Saccharomyces cerevisiae S288C: one gene and its partners. The protein of the gene in region 3 binds, or shares a complex with, the protein of the main gene of each other region. Each region holds a gene or a part of one and is shown on either strand. Other genes may lie near its edges. A codon is read from its position in the direction of its gene.

Region 1 (3,256 bases), on a different chromosome or scaffold from region 3:
ATGGAAGTGAAGGGCAATGGACGCATTGTTAACAAAGTTCAACGAGGATAGAAGTCTCCAAGATGAAAACTTGTCCCAACCACGAACGAGAGTAAGAATTGTTGACGACAATCTTTACAACAAATCGAATCCATTCCAACTATGCTATAAAAAACGTGACTACGGTTCTCAGTACTACCACATTTATCAATACCGTCTAAAGACTTTCAGAGAACGCGTCTTAAAAGAATGTGACAAGAGATGGGATGCGGGCTTTACCTTGAATGGCCAATTAGTTCTAAAAAAGGACAAAGTGTTAGATATTCAGGGAAACCAACCATGTTGGTGCGTAGGATCCATATATTGCGAGATGAAATATAAACCAAACGTACTGGACGAAGTGATCAATGATACATATGGTGCACCAGATTTAACTAAAAGTTATACTGATAAAGAGGGTGGTTCTGATGAAATTATGCTCGAAGATGAAAGTGGGAGAGTGCTTCTAGTGGGAGATTTTATTCGGTCTACACCCTTCATCACGGGTGTTGTTGTAGGTATACTGGGTATGGAAGCTGAAGCCGGGACATTTCAAGTTTTAGACATATGCTACCCCACTCCTTTACCACAAAATCCTTTCCCTGCACCAATTGCTACCTGCCCCACCAGGGGAAAAATTGCTCTTGTTTCTGGGTTAAACCTCAATAATACATCACCTGATAGGCTATTGAGATTGGAGATTTTGAGAGAATTTTTGATGGGGAGAATCAATAACAAAATTGACGACATTTCTCTAATTGGTAGATTACTGATATGCGGCAACTCTGTTGACTTCGACATTAAAAGCGTGAACAAAGACGAATTGATGATTTCTCTAACTGAGTTCAGTAAATTTCTACACAACATTTTGCCATCTATATCTGTTGATATTATGCCCGGAACCAATGATCCAAGTGACAAATCTCTACCGCAACAGCCTTTCCACAAATCATTGTTTGATAAGTCCCTAGAATCATACTTCAACGGTTCTAACAAAGAAATTTTGAATTTAGTGACCAACCCATATGAGTTTAGCTATAATGGCGTAGACGTTCTAGCCGTTTCAGGCAAAAATATCAATGATATTTGTAAATACGTAATACCATCAAATGATAACGGAGAAAGTGAAAACAAGGTCGAGGAGGGCGAGAGTAATGATTTCAAAGACGATATAGAGCATCGCCTGGACCTTATGGAATGTACAATGAAATGGCAAAACATCGCGCCCACCGCACCTGATACCTTATGGTGTTATCCGTACACTGATAAGGATCCATTTGTATTGGATAAGTGGCCCCACGTTTACATTGTGGCAAACCAGCCATATTTTGGAACAAGAGTAGTGGAAATAGGTGGTAAGAACATAAAGATAATATCTGTCCCTGAATTCAGTTCTACTGGGATGATAATATTACTGGATTTGGAAACGTTAGAAGCAGAGACGGTCAAGATTGACATTTAAATAAAACAAGGAATAATTTCCACATAGATATGCAATTAAGTTTTATATGTAAAAGTGAGCATTCATCGTTCAGCTCAAAATACGTTTCTTGTCACAGCTGGTAGAAAAACTATGAGCGTTTTTTCTTACCCGCAGTCGGAGAAAAATTTTTTCTTCGAAGAGGCGAAAAAGAGAAGAAGAGAAAGCACAAATCTGATGAAATAGTAGTATAAAATCGCATTTACAAATTTTCAACCATTGTTTATTTCCTAGGTCATTAAAGAGTAAAGTGCAATCTGTTTACTAATCAGTTTTTGTCTTCATATTTTTGTGTCTTTTCTGCTGCCTCACGCACCTTCTATAATACACCAAATAATGTCCACTTCTCATTGCAGATTTTATGAAAACAAATACCCAGAAATTGACGATATCGTCATGGTTAACGTCCAGCAGATTGCTGAAATGGGTGCTTATGTTAAATTGTTAGAATATGACAACATTGAAGGTATGATTCTACTAAGTGAATTGTCCCGTAGACGTATTAGGTCAATCCAAAAATTAATTCGTGTTGGTAAAAATGATGTCGCCGTTGTTCTTCGTGTCGACAAAGAAAAAGGTTATATTGATTTGTCCAAACGTCGTGTTTCTTCTGAAGATATCATTAAATGTGAAGAAAAATACCAAAAATCTAAGACTGTTCATTCCATTTTAAGATACTGTGCCGAAAAATTCCAAATCCCTTTGGAAGAACTATATAAGACCATTGCTTGGCCATTAAGTCGAAAATTTGGTCACGCTTACGAAGCTTTCAAACTATCCATCATTGACGAAACTGTTTGGGAAGGTATTGAACCGCCATCAAAAGATGTTTTAGATGAATTAAAGAACTATATCTCCAAGAGATTAACACCACAAGCTGTAAAGATTAGAGCCGATGTTGAAGTGTCTTGTTTTAGTTACGAAGGTATCGATGCCATTAAAGACGCATTAAAATCAGCTGAAGACATGTCCACAGAACAAATGCAAGTTAAAGTTAAATTAGTCGCCGCCCCATTATATGTTTTGACCACCCAAGCCTTGGATAAGCAAAAAGGTATTGAACAACTGGAAAGCGCTATTGAAAAAATTACAGAGGTTATTACAAAATACGGCGGTGTTTGCAACATTACCATGCCACCAAAGGCTGTCACTGCTACTGAAGACGCTGAGTTACAAGCTCTATTAGAAAGCAAAGAATTAGATAATAGATCTGACTCTGAAGACGATGAGGATGAGTCAGACGACGAGTAATCATTGCCGCGCCTAATTTTTCTAGGTGTTTTCAAGTGTCATACTGTTTTAGAAAATTTTGTATAGAACAAATACGTATATCCTGCCATATCATATTCTTTGCAATATACACCTTGTACATTTGGCTATTATAAATATTACAATCCATTTAATCATAATCAAAATTTAATTTCTGTTACCACGGGGTTGTCAGTGGAGCATGCCCTGCCGGTTCTCTATAATTTATCTTTTTCACATGAGATATTTTTACCTCAAAAGGTAGTGATGCTGTAATAATATGAGGCTCCCCCCTTTCCTTCGGAATTGCATTTAAATCATTGGGGAACACTAAGACAAGACAAAGGGGCCGTCCACTCATGTGATTTTCAACAAAACAGATAACATGCGGATACACACTGATATATTTTCAAAGGAAAGTCTGACTGATACTTAAGTGAAGTGGTCCTAGTCGGTGGCTTAGGTGGACTACAGTGCAAAGAATAGAATTTTTCAAACATGTCAATACGT
Region 2 (3,162 bases), on a different chromosome or scaffold from region 3:
ACGGCGTTCTAGAAAAAAAAGAAAAATTCAAAAAGTTCTGCGAAACTCGAAAGAACCAGAATTGTTCGAACAATATGTGACAAGCGTATGAGTTAATAATCCGATTAAGCTTTATTCCTGTTCTTTTTTACGTGTATGTAAAACTGGTTTATGGATTACTGTGTTGAGAGAGGGGGGGTGACACCCTCCGGAATGTGATATATCACACGCTTGCACGTTGGTTCATATCGTAACCACGAAGAATACAAATACGCACACGCAAGCTAAGTTATATTTTAAAATATTCTGTCATCAAGCTTCCAAATACTTCTAACCATCTCTTATTCTCCTCTTAGTAGCCATTCTTTGCCACGAGGAATAAAAAGTCCCGCGCCACTAATTACAGGAAAAGAAAAATAGGACAATTCCATTTGATGTCACCGTGGTAATATCACCATGAACGATGATATGAAATTTTCATAGAATAAGAAGGAAAAGTAATAAAAGAAAAAGAGAATCTGAGAAAAAATCGATGAGTTAATTATCATTTGTGTAAAACAAAAACGAATTGTAATACGATAGGCAAAATTGTTCGCGCTCTATCTCAAAGAAAGTAATTATTTCCAAATAGAAAAAAAAAATCTACATATACGCAGATATGGGCCTACACAGTGAACCGTTAGATCAAGAGGACCAAGACACCATAATACTCGATGCAAGAGCTGGCGATTTGGATTCTCTGAAAGATATATTTACAACTTTAGTCAGTCCCGAGTTACTTTCGACTTGTAAGGAAAGTGAATCTGATTCTACGGCTTTACATATGGCTGCTGCCAACGGTCATATAGAGACCGTTCGGTATATACTGGAGACGGTTTCTCGCGCAAATAGTGCCGAAGACTTGAAAGCTTTTGTTAATGAGGTGAACAAAACAGGCAACACGGCTTTACATTGGGCGTCGTTGAATGGCAAATTAGACGTGGTCAAGCTACTGTGTGATGAATATGAGGCAGACCCCTTTATTAGAAACAAATTCGGCCACGATGCTATCTTTGAGGCCGAGAACAGCGGGAAGGAAGAAGTGGAAACATACTTTTTGAAGAAGTATGATGTCGAACCTGAAGATGATGAAGAAGACACACAAACTGAGGGCAAGAATTCGGTCCAAATCACAAAGGGTACAGAAATTGAACAAGTCACCAAGGAAGCCACCGAGGCTTTAAGAGAAGAAACCGAGAAACTGAATATAAATAAAGACTAAAGTAAAGAGCTTGTTTTCTTCGTGGAATAAAAGCCGTAATATCCATTGAGCATGATATTTTATTTCTTGGTACCGGAGAAGATAAAAGGATGGAACCAGCAGAAATGCATTAATAAATACAAAAAATTTAGAAAAGAGTTACAGTAATAATGTATATTTCTCTCACAAACTAAGTAACCGCTTCAAAAGCGTATATTTTGAATGCATTGAACTTTCCATTTCATTACCCGCAGAGCCGGAGTCCTCATCAACGACGGAGTGAAAAATTTTGTAATTGCGAGAAAAAGTGAAATTGATGGAAAAAAAGAAAAAGAAAGTAGAAGAAGACATTATAAGAGAGACTAGGAAACTTCTTGCACATCAACCGAAAAGCGCCTAGGCAACCAGTCATATAATAAGCACGCACGAGATGTCCTCCGATTTAGCTGCTGAGTTAGGATTCGACCCTGCACTAAAGAAGAAAAAGAAGACTAAGAAGGTGATCCCAGATGATTTTGATGCTGCCGTAAACGGCAAAGAAAATGGTTCAGGAGATGATTTATTTGCCGGATTAAAAAAGAAAAAGAAGAAGTCCAAGAGCGTTTCTGCCGATGCTGAAGCTGAAAAAGAGCCTACTGACGACATAGCAGAAGCCTTGGGTGAACTATCCTTGAAGAAGAAAAAGAAAAAGACAAAGGACAGCAGTGTAGACGCGTTTGAGAAAGAACTAGCTAAAGCTGGTCTAGATAATGTGGATGCTGAAAGCAAAGAAGGCACTCCAAGTGCTAATTCCAGCATTCAACAAGAAGTTGGCCTACCTTATTCAGAGTTATTATCTAGATTTTTCAATATTCTAAGAACTAACAATCCAGAACTTGCTGGTGATAGAAGTGGTCCAAAGTTCAGAATTCCTCCTCCTGTTTGTTTGCGTGATGGTAAGAAGACTATTTTCTCGAATATCCAAGATATCGCCGAAAAATTGCATAGATCTCCGGAACATTTGATTCAATATCTCTTCGCAGAATTAGGTACGTCCGGTTCTGTTGACGGTCAGAAAAGATTAGTCATTAAGGGTAAGTTTCAATCCAAACAAATGGAGAATGTCTTAAGAAGATACATTTTGGAGTATGTCACTTGTAAAACTTGTAAGAGTATTAACACCGAATTGAAGAGAGAACAGTCAAACAGACTGTTCTTTATGGTCTGTAAAAGTTGTGGTTCTACCAGATCCGTCTCTTCTATTAAAACCGGTTTCCAAGCTACCGTTGGTAAGAGAAGGAGAATGTGATGTTGGTGCTTTACCTGTTAGCATATATATAATAAATACGGATTTCGTTTATCTTGTGTATTTTATTCGTTTCATTAGATATTTAATGTTTAAATGAAGAAAAACTTAAAGTAAAAATTTTCATTCACAAAATAAATCTAAACAGCGGTAGGTAATCTTCATTGATCAGAGTGAACACATTGCATGGAGCCAGCCAATCATCGTGTCCTGTTTACTTCCCAAGGACAGGAAAAAGCTTTGAGAAGCAAAACCGATCAAGTGTCTAAATCTTGTAAAAGATTTAATAATTGGCTGGTAGTAGGCCTTTGTATAGGATCCACTTGAATGCATTTCTTGATTACACTCAAAAGCCCCTCAGAAAATCTGGAATTTCTCGGGAAACTGTACTTACCAGTGTTTATAGCGTAGGTTAAAGAAGCTCCATGTATCTGCTCTTCTCGCTCAAAGGGGGAGATACCGAACATTAAAGTATAGAACGTACAACCCAAAGACCAAATATCAACCTTAGAGCTCAAAACCTGATTTAATTTCAAGTTCAGAAGTTCTGGTGGAGTATATGGCAACGTACAATTGTCATTGACCCATTCTTGTAGTTCGCTGAGTTGATGTCTGTTTTCAATTGTTATATCAGCTTGAGAGCAGGAGCCGAGGTCAC
Region 3 (3,755 bases):
TGTTCGTGTTAGTGCTGGACGAATCACAAGAAGAAACTACCAATGATGGCGATGATACCGCTGATATCAGTCAAATGTTTAACAGGACTATCACTGAGCGAGACAAGAAATGTACTTCCGCCAATTGTAAGAGAGTGTTTTACGGTACTTCTATAATAAATAGCAAAGGCCATCAAGTGGGTTCATGTGTTTCTCGTTGGTATGATAAATTACAGTTAGTTGTCACTGCAGATGCAAAAGCCACAGTGATTTGGGATTCCTTCACATGTGACGGGTCAGTCGTGCTTCGGTTTACTTCTGAAATTTATACAGAATCAGTCTTGAGATTAGCTAGAGACGTTAACGCCGGTGACCCACAGTTTTCACTCTGGCCTAACGTGACACAAATGGATCCTGAAACTAAAAAACTGATGACGGCGACCATAAGTGCCGACGGCGGAGGCCCTTCTGAAATTGACCCTAAGTTGGTTGTAAATAAAATCGATTGGTCTTTCAGTAACATCCTGAACACACATGTCCATTTGTCAGAAACCAAACTAGCTGATCTGATTTCCAAGTATGATATTGTTCGCGCTTCTATTCCATTGGGCAGAAGGTCAGCTCAAAGATTAGGAGTCAAGCCCGATTCGATGGTTCAAGTAGCTTTACAAATAGCTCACTATGCTTTGTATGGAAGAATGGTGTTTGGATTAGAACCAGTATCCACACGTGGTTTCAAAAACTCGAGATCATCTTTTATTAACATTCAAAGTCAAGCGCTGTTGGAACTATGTCAATTGTTTATTTCTAGCTCCATTGATGGGACAGATAAATTAGACAAATTTATCCAAACCTGCGAAACACATAATAACATGGTTAAACATGCAAAGTCTGGGGTAGGTTATGAAAAACACTTCAATGCATTGAAATATCTCTTCAAATTTCATGACCATTTTGGTATCCACTTAAGTGGTGATGAATCATCTGCTGCGAAAGATCTTTTCGAAAATCCACTTGTTTTACCTTTCTCACAGCCTGAGTTGATTGTTGCCAACTGTGGTAATGCTGCTACCACGACATTTGGTATAACTCCTGCTGTACCTCATGGCTTTGGAATAGGGTACATCATTAAAGATGATCAAGTAGATTTGACCGTGACATCGCAATTTCGACAGGGTGACAGGTTAATGTTTATGTTAAGTTGGGTGTTAGGCGAAATTCGTTCCTACTGGAGGATGTCACGCGGCACTTCTCATAATAAAACTGGCGTGAAGATCAGTCCAGTGGTCGATAAATTGTATGAAATGGACAATGCAGTCAATAATCCTCCGAAACGTAACGGCCATACAGTCAATGGCTCCCGCAAAACATCTTCTTCATCACAGGTAAATTTGAACAGGTATGGCGGGTTTTTCGATTTGGAAGGCCACATTGACAGTAGGAATATATCTAAAACACCATCGATGAAGAATTTGCAGAAAACCTTCAATGGCTTGACCATGAGCGCAGACAATGATCATTCAAGTTCCGCAGTTTCCGTTCCCACAGAAAAGGAAAAATTAAATACAGGCCATGAAATTTTACAGATCCAACCGCGGGAAGTGGCAAGTAATGGGTTGGAAGCAGATGATGAGACAGATATTGAAATAGTTGCTGGCAATGCTGATGGCACATCCTCTTCGGCATCTTCAGCTACATCTCTAAATTCCAAGAAACGTAACGTCATCAACTCAAGATTCGATATTGATTTTGACCGCAGTCGTGTGGGTAGAAAGGTGGCGACCTTAGATCAATAAGAACGCTCTTTGTTTATCTATTTATTACTAGCATTATGCGTAAGCTTGGCGTGATGTGATATATACTTGTTATATGAAGTATATCAATATGCTTTAATTTATGCTTATTATTTGCTCTCATGTCAGTAACCCGGACCAGATTTGCCATTGAAAAAATTTTCATAGAATAGCCCGATGCTGATCATCAGTACAAAAGACAGAGATTTCATCTCGACCTGTACCAGGAGCTAAGCAAAGAGGGCGGAAAGAGCGTAATACACCGTTAACATCGCGCATTAGAGGTAGACATGAGTGACTTACAAGACCAAGAACCTAGCATTATTATCAACGGTAATTTGGAACCAGTTGGTGAACCAGATATCGTTGAAGAAACGGAAGTTGTAGCTCAAGAAACACAAGAAACACAAGATGCTGATAAGCCAAAGAAGAAAGTCGCCTTCACTGGCTTGGAAGAAGACGGGGAAACTGAAGAAGAAAAAAGGAAAAGGGAATTTGAAGAAGGTGGTGGTTTGCCCGAACAACCATTAAACCCTGATTTTTCAAAATTAAACCCACTATCCGCCGAAATTATCAACAGGCAAGCTACAATAAACATCGGTACCATCGGTCATGTCGCCCACGGTAAATCCACAGTAGTTAGGGCTATTTCAGGTGTCCAAACAGTCCGTTTTAAGGATGAATTAGAACGTAACATTACTATTAAGTTAGGTTACGCTAATGCTAAAATTTATAAATGTCAAGAGCCTACATGTCCCGAACCTGATTGTTATAGATCATTCAAATCTGATAAAGAAATCAGTCCTAAATGTCAAAGACCAGGTTGTCCGGGGCGTTACAAATTGGTCCGTCACGTTTCTTTTGTTGACTGTCCCGGTCACGATATCTTAATGAGTACTATGTTATCAGGTGCTGCTGTTATGGATGCTGCGTTACTGTTGATTGCAGGTAATGAATCTTGTCCACAACCTCAAACCTCAGAGCATTTAGCTGCCATTGAAATCATGAAATTAAAGCACGTCATCATCTTACAGAATAAGGTCGATTTAATGCGTGAAGAAAGTGCCTTAGAACACCAAAAATCCATCTTGAAGTTCATCAGAGGTACCATTGCTGACGGTGCTCCTATTGTACCAATATCCGCTCAGTTGAAGTATAACATCGACGCAGTTAATGAATTTATTGTCAAGACTATTCCCGTACCACCAAGAGATTTTATGATTTCTCCAAGGTTAATTGTTATTCGTTCATTTGATGTTAATAAGCCAGGTGCTGAAATCGAGGACCTGAAAGGTGGTGTTGCCGGTGGTTCTATTTTGAATGGTGTTTTCAAATTAGGTGATGAAATTGAGATTAGACCAGGTATTGTCACCAAGGATGATAAGGGTAAAATTCAATGTAAACCAATCTTTTCTAACATTGTCTCCTTATTTGCCGAACAAAATGACTTGAAGTTTGCTGTTCCCGGTGGTCTGATTGGTGTTGGTACTAAAGTTGATCCTACCTTGTGTAGAGCTGATCGTCTTGTCGGTCAAGTCGTCGGTGCTAAGGGTCATTTGCCAAACATTTATACTGATATCGAAATCAACTACTTTTTGCTACGTCGTCTATTAGGTGTCAAAACAGATGGTCAAAAGCAAGCCAAAGTCAGAAAATTAGAGCCAAATGAAGTTCTTATGGTCAACATTGGTTCTACCGCTACGGGGGCTCGTGTGGTTGCCGTTAAAGCTGATATGGCAAGATTACAGTTAACGTCGCCCGCTTGTACTGAAATTAACGAGAAGATTGCTTTGTCGAGACGTATCGAAAAGCATTGGCGTTTGATTGGTTGGGCAACCATTAAAAAGGGTACTACATTGGAACCCATCGCTTAAGGAACCAATAAAACCACTGCAAAGACAAAAATTTCATAATTAATCTGAAAGAAAGTGAAGATAAGAAACGGGCTAGGAGGAAGGGAAACTGACACTTCTGGTTATTGCA

What was found.
Region 1: the proteins of GCD11 (region 3) and SUI2 are in contact, whole or in part, in a cryo-EM structure (PDB 6I3M), measured with the Saccharomyces cerevisiae proteins. Residues at the interface, in NP_010942.1 of Saccharomyces cerevisiae: Asp322 (codon at 3,026), Asn324 (codon at 3,032), Lys325 (codon at 3,035), Pro326 (codon at 3,038), Gly327 (codon at 3,041), Ala328 (codon at 3,044), Glu329 (codon at 3,047), Ile330 (codon at 3,050), Glu331 (codon at 3,053), Leu333 (codon at 3,059), Lys334 (codon at 3,062), Gly335 (codon at 3,065), Ile359 (codon at 3,137), Ile373 (codon at 3,179), Phe374 (codon at 3,182), Lys401 (codon at 3,263), Val402 (codon at 3,266), Asp403 (codon at 3,269), Pro404 (codon at 3,272), Thr405 (codon at 3,275), Leu406 (codon at 3,278), Arg408 (codon at 3,284), Arg411 (codon at 3,293); in NP_012540.3 of Saccharomyces cerevisiae: Val190 (codon at 2,402), Ser191 (codon at 2,405), Cys192 (codon at 2,408), Phe193 (codon at 2,411), Ser194 (codon at 2,414), Tyr195 (codon at 2,417), Gly197 (codon at 2,423), Ile198 (codon at 2,426), Ile201 (codon at 2,435), Lys202 (codon at 2,438), Leu205 (codon at 2,447), Lys206 (codon at 2,450), Glu209 (codon at 2,459), Asp210 (codon at 2,462), Val220 (codon at 2,492), Leu222 (codon at 2,498), Val223 (codon at 2,501), Ala224 (codon at 2,504), Ala225 (codon at 2,507), Pro226 (codon at 2,510), Tyr228 (codon at 2,516).
Region 2: the proteins of GCD11 (region 3) and SUI3 are in contact, whole or in part, in a cryo-EM structure (PDB 6QG0), measured with the Saccharomyces cerevisiae proteins. Residues at the interface, in NP_010942.1 of Saccharomyces cerevisiae: Gln248 (codon at 2,804), Val251 (codon at 2,813), Asp252 (codon at 2,816), Met254 (codon at 2,822), Arg255 (codon at 2,825), Glu256 (codon at 2,828), Ala259 (codon at 2,837), Leu260 (codon at 2,840), Gln263 (codon at 2,849), Leu267 (codon at 2,861), Ala278 (codon at 2,894), Ile280 (codon at 2,900), Val281 (codon at 2,903), Pro282 (codon at 2,906), Ile283 (codon at 2,909), Ser284 (codon at 2,912), Leu287 (codon at 2,921), Tyr289 (codon at 2,927), Asn290 (codon at 2,930), Asp292 (codon at 2,936), Ala293 (codon at 2,939); in NP_015087.1 of Saccharomyces cerevisiae: Val127 (codon at 2,028), Gly128 (codon at 2,031), Tyr131 (codon at 2,040), Ser132 (codon at 2,043), Leu134 (codon at 2,049), Leu135 (codon at 2,052), Arg137 (codon at 2,058), Phe138 (codon at 2,061), Phe139 (codon at 2,064), Ile141 (codon at 2,070), Leu142 (codon at 2,073), Arg143 (codon at 2,076).

Annotation. Positions count from the first base shown.
Region 1 is NC_001142.9:449,186-452,441, forward strand, and holds SUI2 (translation initiation factor eIF2 subunit alpha), read left to right. Parts: upstream 1-1,834; coding exon 1,835-2,749; downstream 2,750-3,256. Other genes in the region: DNA-directed DNA polymerase delta subunit POL31, read left to right, coding at 17-1,480; MHO1 (Mho1p), read left to right, coding at 3,245-3,256. UniProt on the Saccharomyces cerevisiae protein: eIF-2 functions in the early steps of protein synthesis by forming a ternary complex with GTP and initiator tRNA. This complex binds to a 40S ribosomal subunit, followed by mRNA binding to form a 43S pre-initiation complex.
Region 2 is NC_001148.4:98,847-102,008, forward strand, and holds SUI3 (translation initiation factor eIF2 subunit beta), read left to right. Parts: upstream 1-1,649; coding exon 1,650-2,507; downstream 2,508-3,162. Other genes in the region: YAR1 (Yar1p), read left to right, coding at 638-1,240; putative serine/threonine protein kinase ENV7, read right to left, coding at 2,762-3,162. UniProt on the Saccharomyces cerevisiae protein: Component of the eIF2 complex that functions in the early steps of protein synthesis by forming a ternary complex with GTP and initiator tRNA.
Region 3 is NC_001137.3:203,189-206,943, forward strand, and holds GCD11 (translation initiation factor eIF2 subunit gamma), read left to right. Parts: upstream 1-2,062; coding exon 2,063-3,646; downstream 3,647-3,755. Other genes in the region: carnitine O-acetyltransferase YAT2, read left to right, coding at 1-1,775. UniProt on the Saccharomyces cerevisiae protein: As a subunit of eukaryotic initiation factor 2 eIF2, involved in the early steps of protein synthesis.